Mus musculus: one gene and its partner. The protein of the gene in region 1 purifies or fractionates together with the protein of each later gene. This does not show direct contact. Links are inferred from orthologs where the notes say so. Each region holds a gene or a part of one and is shown in the gene's direction. Other genes may lie near its edges. The genes, in order: Rsu1 and Parva.

Region 1 (4,416 bases):
TCAAAAAGCACTAATAAATATTGATGCTTTGGGCTTAGAGGGCTCACAGAAACTGAAACTGCATCCACAGCTTGTATGAGACTGTGCTAGATCAGTGCTCTCAGCAAATGTCTAGCTTAAGAAGTGATGAGGCAAGCCGGGCGTGGTGGCACATGCCTTTAATCCCAGCACTTGGGAGGCAGAAGCAGGCGGATTTCTGAGTTCGAGGCCAGCCTGGTCTACAGAGTGAGTTCCAGGACAGCCAGGACTATACAGAGAAACCCTGTCTCGAAAAACCAAAAAAAAAAAAAAAAAAAAAAGTGATGAGGCCTGGACAATGCAAGTTGCCTGCATTGCAAGTATCATCGTTTCATCTGAAGTGTGTTTAAGGAGAAATTTCTGCTTTCAAATTCAAAGTGCCGAATCTTTTTCTAGTACCTGCTTGGCTCATTGCTTATATATGTGTGTCTAAACTTCTGCACGTCTGTCTGACTGCTTATCTGTCATGTACCTAATGCCAGAGGAATAATTCTGGAATGATTTCCTATTTAATAGTGTGAAATTGTCACTAAGATTAAGTTTTTTACTGGGTCATCAAGATCTAGTCATTAGGAGGTAGAACCCAGAGGGTCAGCAGAAAGTTTATCTATCTATCTATCTATCTATCTATCTATCTATCTATCCATCCATTCTATTTGAAGAAAGTGGGAGAGTTCTAAGAGCCAAGATTTCACGGTTCATGGGTGTAAACACCAACTCAGACTTCTGACATAGTCGTGGTTTACTGTTAGCATCTAACCCTAAGGGAGATAGATTCCAGTTCCCAAGACCAAAAGGAACGGAGCAAAACAGTTAGATACAGAAACCTGTGAGTTACCAGCTGAGGACATAAGTTTCGGGCGGAATCTTTGTCTTCAGAATCTTTACCATAATCCAGACCTCATACCTCCACCAGGTCTGCGACAGCCAGGGGCACACGAGGGACTCACGGTAACAACTCTCCGTGGGAGGGGACCGGCAACGAAAGACGCAGGACAAAAGAGAGTACCTGACTTGTGGATTTCTCAGGACGGAACTCCAAATCCCTCAACACAAGCTGCATTCTAAGAGTCTACCTCGGTACCAGCGACCAGCTTAGAATCCCCTGCTTCCGCCCACAGAACTTTGTCCTTCAGCTAGCTTACTGAGCATGCGCAGAATCTAGATCACATGCACTTGCTGAGTCCAATTCAAGTTCCAAACTCAAGAAGATGGGCGTTCCTCAGCGTAGGGCGGAGTCTCTGAGACTAAAACGTGTACGATTGGTCCGCCTCGGGGTCCACTTTCTTCAGTGGGCAGAGCCTCGCCTGGAGCCACAGCTGGGAAACAGTTCTCCTAATTTGGGAAGTGTCAGGCCGGGAGGGGCGTGGGGTTGGCCGGATTTTGTGTGCGCCTGCGCGATCGCTGGGACAGGGTGTGTTCCTGCTGCGGGATCCTGTTTTCGGCTGATCCAGTTCATCGCTCTCCACCCGAGTTTCCCTTGCAGGTCCCTAATCACACCCACCAGGTGTTGCTCGCTGCGGTGAGTGTGCGGGGTCCAAGTCCTCCATTAAGGACTCCATGGTGATACCCATTCTCCCCTAGGCAGCCCTGGAGAATTCAGCCTGGGCCTCTGCTCCTTTCCTGCCTTAACCTGCCCCACAACCCCCAGGCTCCCATTTTTGCCATCATCCACGTGCTTTGTTGTCCTTTGCTACAGAACATGTCCAAGTCACTGAAGAAGCTGGTGGAGGAGAGCAGGGAGAAGAACCAGCCGGAAGTGGACATGAGTGACAGGGGTATCTCCAGTATGTTGGATGTCAACGGCTTGTGTAAGTTCTCTTGGACAGTTGCTAAGTTTGTAAGTAACTGCTCTCTTGGGAGGCGAGTTTCGGAAGCCTGCCATTCCACCTTTGCTCGTCACTTGGTCACTTGTCAGGAGCTTGCAAACCACAGTTAGTTCTGCTGGGACTGGTGAACCAGATGAGAACGTCACACGAGGTGTGCTGCAGTTCCTTCTCAGCGGGTGAGGGAGCTTCATAGCTTTGAAGTCCATCTTCCATGTAGTGTCCCAAGTAGCCATTTTTGTTTGTAATTTGGAAGTCACGTTTTACTCTATGAATCATGAGCTGGTGGTACTCAAAAATTACATGCATAGTAAGAATTCTTGTGCCAGTAGTATTTTCAACATTTTCCTTCATTACGTATTCCTGGGTCATTCTCCCATTTGTGTTCAGGCATTGCTCAATCTTGTGATCCAAGCTCAGCACCCGTTTAATCAGGGTGTTGCTTTCAGCTGTGAACTTATATGACTCTTACTTTATTGTTTTTTTCTCATCTGTAAAACCAGACAGGGAACTCAGTACAAGTGGGAATGGTCATAAACTCCATTGCCTGTGCCCTTCTCATGGGCATCTCCTCTTCTCCACATGGAGACGGTTATCCCCATGTGTAAATGCTGCATCACTATCGCCAGATTTTGTGTTGAGAATTCTAGTGTCCACTTTTTCATGATCTTTAAATTCTGCAAACTAATTCTGGTCTTTGAAAACACTTTTTAAGTAAGTCACCACGCTTCTGTAGGTTCCTGTGACTTCATTTGGATCCTCTGAGAGCTTAACTGTTGAGAGTGGTACCCCCACATTCCTCAGCGGGACATACAAGGTCTGATTCTGATCATAAACCGATCCCTTCCATGCATTCATTCCAAGCGATGTTGAATAAGCTCCACTGAGTGACCCTGAGCAGCCAGATCTTCCTGACTTGCAAGTCTGTTGTCTCCTTATCTATATGCCTTTCCACCTGACGTCCCTTAACTTAACTGCCAAGAGTCAGCTCAGACATCATAGCCTATGAAAAACGTTCTCTTTCTATCTTCCTGTGTGAACCCACCTTTCTACAAGGCACAGATTGCATAGCCTTTAATTAATTAATTTTTTAAAAAAGATTTATTTATTTCATATGTGAGTACACGGTTGCTCTCCTCAGAGACACCACAAGAGGGCTTCCATTACAGATGGTTGTGAGCCACCATGTGGTTGCTGGGAATTGAACTCAGGACTTCTGGAAGACCAGCCAGTGATCCTAACCGCTGAGCCATTTCTCCAGTCCAATTAATTTATTTTTAATCCAGTAGACTCTCTTCCTCATTCGAATACCAAGAGAATATGCAATGCCATGCTTGTGTTCTTGAGAATAGTGTCTGGAACACAGTCGGCACTCTAAATGTTGATAGGAGTCAGAGTAGGATGTTAGAACATCAACCAGAGGGGAGCTGTACAGAGACCTTAAAGTCAGTGGATAGCTTCCTAGGCATGAAGACTCTTGTCTGTTCTTGGAGTACAGGCTGGGATGGATGTTGACACATTAAGGCCAAAGTGGACTGCAGACATCTAGCTATCATGAAGAGTCCTGCTTTGACATACCCTTAGCATCTTGATAACTTCTTGGTTTGGGTGACATGTGTTGGTCTCTTGCAGTAAGAATGGGTTTGTGGTGATTTTTGACACTGAAGTGTCTGCCGAGGATCTAGACACTCCCATTGCTTTGGCTTTATTTCGGTTTCCACTGCTGTAAAGGAAGAAGAGGCTAAACAGAGAGCAGGGGACCAGGTGCATCTGCGCCCTGAACAGCACCTAGTTCTCTGCCTGCTGCATGCCTCCCTATGGGCTGAAGCCTGAGCCCACAGTGGTCTGAGCCATTTGTATCATTCTGGAAGATGAAGACCCATGTAATATTAACAAATGACAAGAGTAGCTCTGCTATTTCAGTTCAGCTCCATTATCTCTTTGAAGCCTTGGCTCTTACTACAGGGGAAAAGATAGCCACTTGCTTCCTGAAGGGGAAAAAAAACTGCTTCTGGTCTAATACTGGGGGATAAAAAGCAAGGTCATTTCTGTAGTTGCTCAAACCAGAAACCAAGAGACAACATTGGTATTTCTTGGAAAGATCAGCGGAAGTTTAAAAATCTCACTCCCTCTGCTGGTGTTGGCTTAAGGAAGGGCTGGGTGTATTGAGTCCTTGCTGTCAGGACTCCTAAGAACCTGGAAGACTGTAGAGTGTTCACTGGAAGCCTGACCCTAAACTGGCTTTATCAGCCACTCACTGGATTGGAGCTCAGTGGTGGAGCGTTTGTGTAGAACATGTGCAGTTCTGGGGTTCATCTCAAACACAACACAAATAAATTTAAAACAGCAATCAGTTGGCATCCAATGTGGGTGCTATATGATAAAATTACCTCGAGTATTGTGTAAGAATTCTCTTCTTCTCTTCTCTTCTCTTCTCTTCTCTTCTCTTCTCTTCTCTTTTGCTTAGGTTTATCTGCAGCTATGACATTTAGAATGCAAGCATCCTGATTAAACACAGGAAACCATTAACTTACATGCAGAGAGAATGACTGTGTCTTGTACCCTAAGCTTT
Region 2 (4,408 bases), on another chromosome or scaffold:
TATGGAAGGGCCCAGCTCACTATGCATGGTGCCACCCCTGGGCAGGTGGTCCTGTGTTGTATAATAAAGCAAACTGAGGAATCCAGGAGAGGCAAGGCAGTAAGCAGTATTTCTCCATGGTCTCTGCTTCCGATTTCTGCCTCCAGACTCCTGCCTTGACTTCCCTCCGTGATGGACTGCTACCTTACAGGTAAAATAAACCCTCTCCTCTCTAGGTTGCTTCCGGTTCTGGGATTTATCAGAACAATAGGAAGGAAGTTAAGACACACATTCTCATCACCAACATGCATGTCACTCATCAACACGTGCCTCTGGCTGAGAACAGACACTGCTGCCTAGCTGGGCACTAGATCACAACCTAGTGCCCAACTGCTGGACCGATTTCTCCAGCTCAGTTCAAAATCTTGCTCCCTCTGAGTCAGAGGTTCAGTCAGATTCCATCAGTGTGTGTAGTGTACATGTGGAAAGCCCTCCTCAGAGCAAGACAGCCACCATCTTCATCTAAGCAGATGTGAGAACTTGCGACCTCCCTTCCCACTCGACTCCTGACCTAGAGACCGACCCTGTTTATTGATGTTCCCTTATAGAAGGATGGAGCAGGGACAGTCACTGAATTTTCATCTCAATTCTGGCCACTCCCTCTTGTAACCCTACTAGGTCATTCTGTCCTAATTCCACGTGGTCACTGGAGGTGTTAGAGTAGTAGTCTGTTGAAGATTAGCTGAAGGGGATTCCATTTAGACAGTTAGGGGAAGTCATCCGCCCTGGGGTAGAAATTTGCAGTAGTGCAGCTGCTTTGGGGCCCGCCCACATTCCTGTAGGTGACTCCTTCCCCAGGCTCTGTAAGTCTGATAAACTCATTGGATCCCAAGCTTGATTTCAGGGAAAAGGTAATTTGGTGGTGGTGCTCTGGGAAGGAGACATAGATATTTGTTTATGCCCCATCACGGAAAGAGCTGTGGAAACAGTTATGTAACTCTTCCCGCTGGTGTATGACCAAGGTATCCTGAAAGAATGGGAAAGAGATGGTCAAGCCACAACTTAGGACGAAGAAGCACAGTAAAAGTACGCAGGACTCCTAAACATCTCCAGCATGAATCTTTAAAACTGCCTGGTGTGACTCCAGCGTCAGGTCAAGAGAGTCTGGAACTAATTCTATTGCTCTTGGCTAGATAGATGAGCGTCTGCCGTCGTGGACTTCCAGCTTTGTTTGAGTGTGGACAGGAGAAGGTGGAAGTCCGCAGATTCATGCAGAAGTTGAACGGGAAGTCTGTTGGGACCAGAGCCCATTTTAGATCCTTGACTTCTTTGTGAGACAAAAGTACTAACAGTATAGGAACCCATCCATGCAGGAGGTAGAGCAAGAGACCGCAGCAGCTGGGAAATAGGGTCACAGGGCTGATTCCCTGCGGATTCTGACGCGTGTGTGTGTGTGTGTGTGTGTGTGTGTGTGTGTGTGTGTGTGTATGCAAAGCAGAGAAGTGAAGGCTTCCAAGCTCCAGATAAGACCTCACGTCCCCCTAGCATGCACTTGCCCCTGCGTCTATAGCCCCCAGCAAGCGGCAAGCCAGGGCATCCTCGTAGCCAGGGCAGCCCTGGGCACGGGGGCCCCAGGCGCAGCAGCTCCTCGCAGGGCGGAGGGCGGCGCGAGGGAGGGAGCGAGGGACGGGAAAGGCGAGCGAGCTGCCTCAAATGCCTGGAATAATTCCGCTTCCGTTTGGAAAGCCGCAGCCTCAGTCCCGCCGCCGCCCGCCGCGGCCGCCCAGCTCCAGCTCCGCGTCCAGCCGCCATGGCCACATCCCCACAGAAGTCGCCCTTGGTCCCCAAATCACCCACTCCCAAGTCGCCTCCGTCCCGCAAGAAGGATGACTCGTTCTTGGGGAAACTCGGAGGGACGCTGGCCCGGAGGAAGAAAGCCAAAGAAGGTAGGAACAGCCGAGGCCGTGGGCGCTGCAGGGATCGGGAGCCTGGAAGTGGGAGACCCCCCTGGCAGTGCCTGGGCGCGCCTCTCAGTGTCCCCATGTCGCCTCCAAAGCCCTAACCGGGTCGGTGTCATCTCTGGTCCACAGGCGGAGCCCAGGCTTTGGGTGGCTGTTGTCCCAGAGCCCAGGCCCAGCCGGTCCCCTGTGCTCTCCCCTAGGCCGCTGTCCCCGCCCTCTGCGCGCCCGAGGACTGGCATTTGCCAAGTTTCTGCTGGAAAGTTTTCTCGGGCGCCGTCATTCCCCGCTCTCAGCCTTCATTGGTCTGTTGCGCCGTCGTTTCCTGGGCGCCTTCAGGTCTTTTGCTGCAGCTGCAATGGCCTCCTTGGATCTCTCGCGGGCTCCCTGGACTTGTGTGGACTTTGATGATCTGTATAAAATGTTAGTTGACTGACTGAGAGAAGAACGTGCCGAAGTTGGGGGGGGGGGGATTGAGGAATGGTGAGATAAACTCACTACACCTAAGGACTGTGACCCTGCTGTGAACCTGGACATTCCATTCCAAGTTTTATTTAAAGAAAAAGAAAAGATTTCTTTTTCCCACCACAGTGAATTGCAGCAATCTCATTTTTTGTTTCCAGAATAGTTTCTGTGGAAAGTACTTTTTCCCCCGTAGGCAGAATTTACAACTCACATTTGGGCGTAGGAAATGCAGTGATGATTCTAAAAATCAATGTGGCGATAGGTGTGTGAATAAAAAGGGGTTTAAAATGTTTTCCTCTTTGGCATGGCTGGGATTGGATTTAGAGGGCCTTAGGTCTACTGCGTGAGCACCGCGGTCTTATTCTTTCTCTTTTGAGACTCTTTAGCCTTGTGCTTAGTCTTGTGTAGCCCAGGCAGAACTTTGTGGTCCTCCTGCCTCGGCTTCCAAAGTATTTGGGATTACAGGCCTGCCCAGCTTGGTGTTAATTGATTGTTCTTTTCTGTGGTACTGGGGGTTGATCTTAGGGACTCTGATGTTAAGCAAGTGTTTTACCGACACGGTGTTTCTAGCCCAAGTCTCCAGATCATTTCAGGAGTTTACTTTAGTAGGTCTGAGGTGATGAACTAGGAAATGTCTCATGTTCTTAGTCTCCTGAAGTATGGAAAGCACTTTGGTGTTTAATTAGCAAACTCAGTGCATGAGCTAAGTGTCTGTTGTCTAGATTGTGGCATGAATCTAAAAATCACCTCACCCCCAAGTGGTTGTTGTACCTAGTCCCCCCTTATTTCTAACAGAATGACTCCAGGATGCTCATCGAATGGCCAATACTATGAGCTCTTCTGAGCCTGATATAGTGTGCTTTTCCCTGGACATGTATATGGTAAAGTTTAACCTGTATGTTAGGCACAGTAAGAGGTTAACATGGCTGAGATGGCTAAGTGGGTAAAGGCACGTGCCACTCCAGACTGGGGATTTAGATCCTATGTAAGGTAGAAGAAAAGAGCTGACTCCACAAAGTTGACCTCTGACCTGTGCCAGAATACCCACATACATGCATCATGCACACACAATAATGGTAATAATAACAACAGATAGTACTTAGTATTACAGGCATTGCAGTGCTGAGACAGTCAGGCTGATACTTGAGCCAATAACAAAGATGGCTACTAAGTTACCAAGGCTGCGTATACAATGTGTATCCATAGGATTCCTATCCCAGGAATGAAGGAAGGTTTGGAGTGAAGCAAAATCTCATCATGCTAATCAGAATGGTGTGCAACTTAGGAATTATTTCTGAAATTTTTTTCATTCAGTATTTTGCAACCACAGTTGGCCATAGGTCTCTGATACCACAGACGCAAAAATAGTGGGCAGGTGTGCTGGTAAACCATTAATTGTTGTAGTGTGGGCAAATGATCATGAGATCCTAGCTTGGAAGTCCTTTTTCTAGCTTGTGTTTCTGGTATGGGCTCATCCATCTGACAGATGGCAGTTTAGAATTACTGAAGCTCATAACTGGCCTGCAGTGCCCATCCCACTGCTAGCACCTTTGAGAAACGTTTTTATTGGTCCAAAGTTTACCAGTGTGTGTCCACTACTTTCTTGGAGTCTGATGTGACGTTGACCTGTTATTAGACGCGTTCTCACGACCGGCCAGGAAAGACGCAACAAACCAGAATCTTCTGCGGCAAAACTTTATTGCTTACATCTTCAGGAGCAGGAGTGTAAGAAGCAAGAGAGAGAGAAAACGAAACCCGTCCCTCTTTTAGGAGAGTTATATTTCGCCTAGGACGTGTCACTCCCTGATTGGCTGCAGCCCATCGGCCGAGTTGACGTCACGGGGAAGGCAGAGCACATGGAGTGGAGAACCACCCTCGGCATATGCGCAGATTATTTGTTTACCACTTAGAACACAGCTGTCAGCGCCATCTTGTAACGGCGAATGTGGGCGCGGCTCCCAACATCTCCCCCTTTCCTTTTAATAAGAGCAAATAGGCCACCCATA

What was found.
Region 2: the proteins of Rsu1 (region 1) and Parva purify together in Homo sapiens (affinity purification with mass spectrometry; 3 studies listed by BioGRID and IntAct, counting the BioPlex papers as one, with this or other methods). This does not show direct contact. The link is inferred for Mus musculus from reciprocal best matches to the Homo sapiens genes RSU1 and PARVA.

Annotation. Positions count from the first base shown.
Region 1 is NC_000068.7:13,268,324-13,272,739, reverse strand, and holds the start of Rsu1 (ras suppressor protein 1), read left to right. Parts: upstream 1-1,324; 5' UTR 1,325-1,540; intron 1,541-1,717; 5' UTR 1,718-1,720; coding exon 1,721-1,829; intron 1,830-4,416. UniProt on the Homo sapiens protein: Potentially plays a role in the Ras signal transduction pathway. Capable of suppressing v-Ras transformation in vitro.
Region 2 is NC_000073.6:112,426,176-112,430,583, forward strand, and holds the start of Parva (alpha-parvin), read left to right. Parts: upstream 1-1,530; 5' UTR 1,531-1,789; coding exon 1,790-1,925; intron 1,926-4,408. UniProt on the Homo sapiens protein: Plays a role in sarcomere organization and in smooth muscle cell contraction. Required for normal development of the embryonic cardiovascular system, and for normal septation of the heart outflow tract.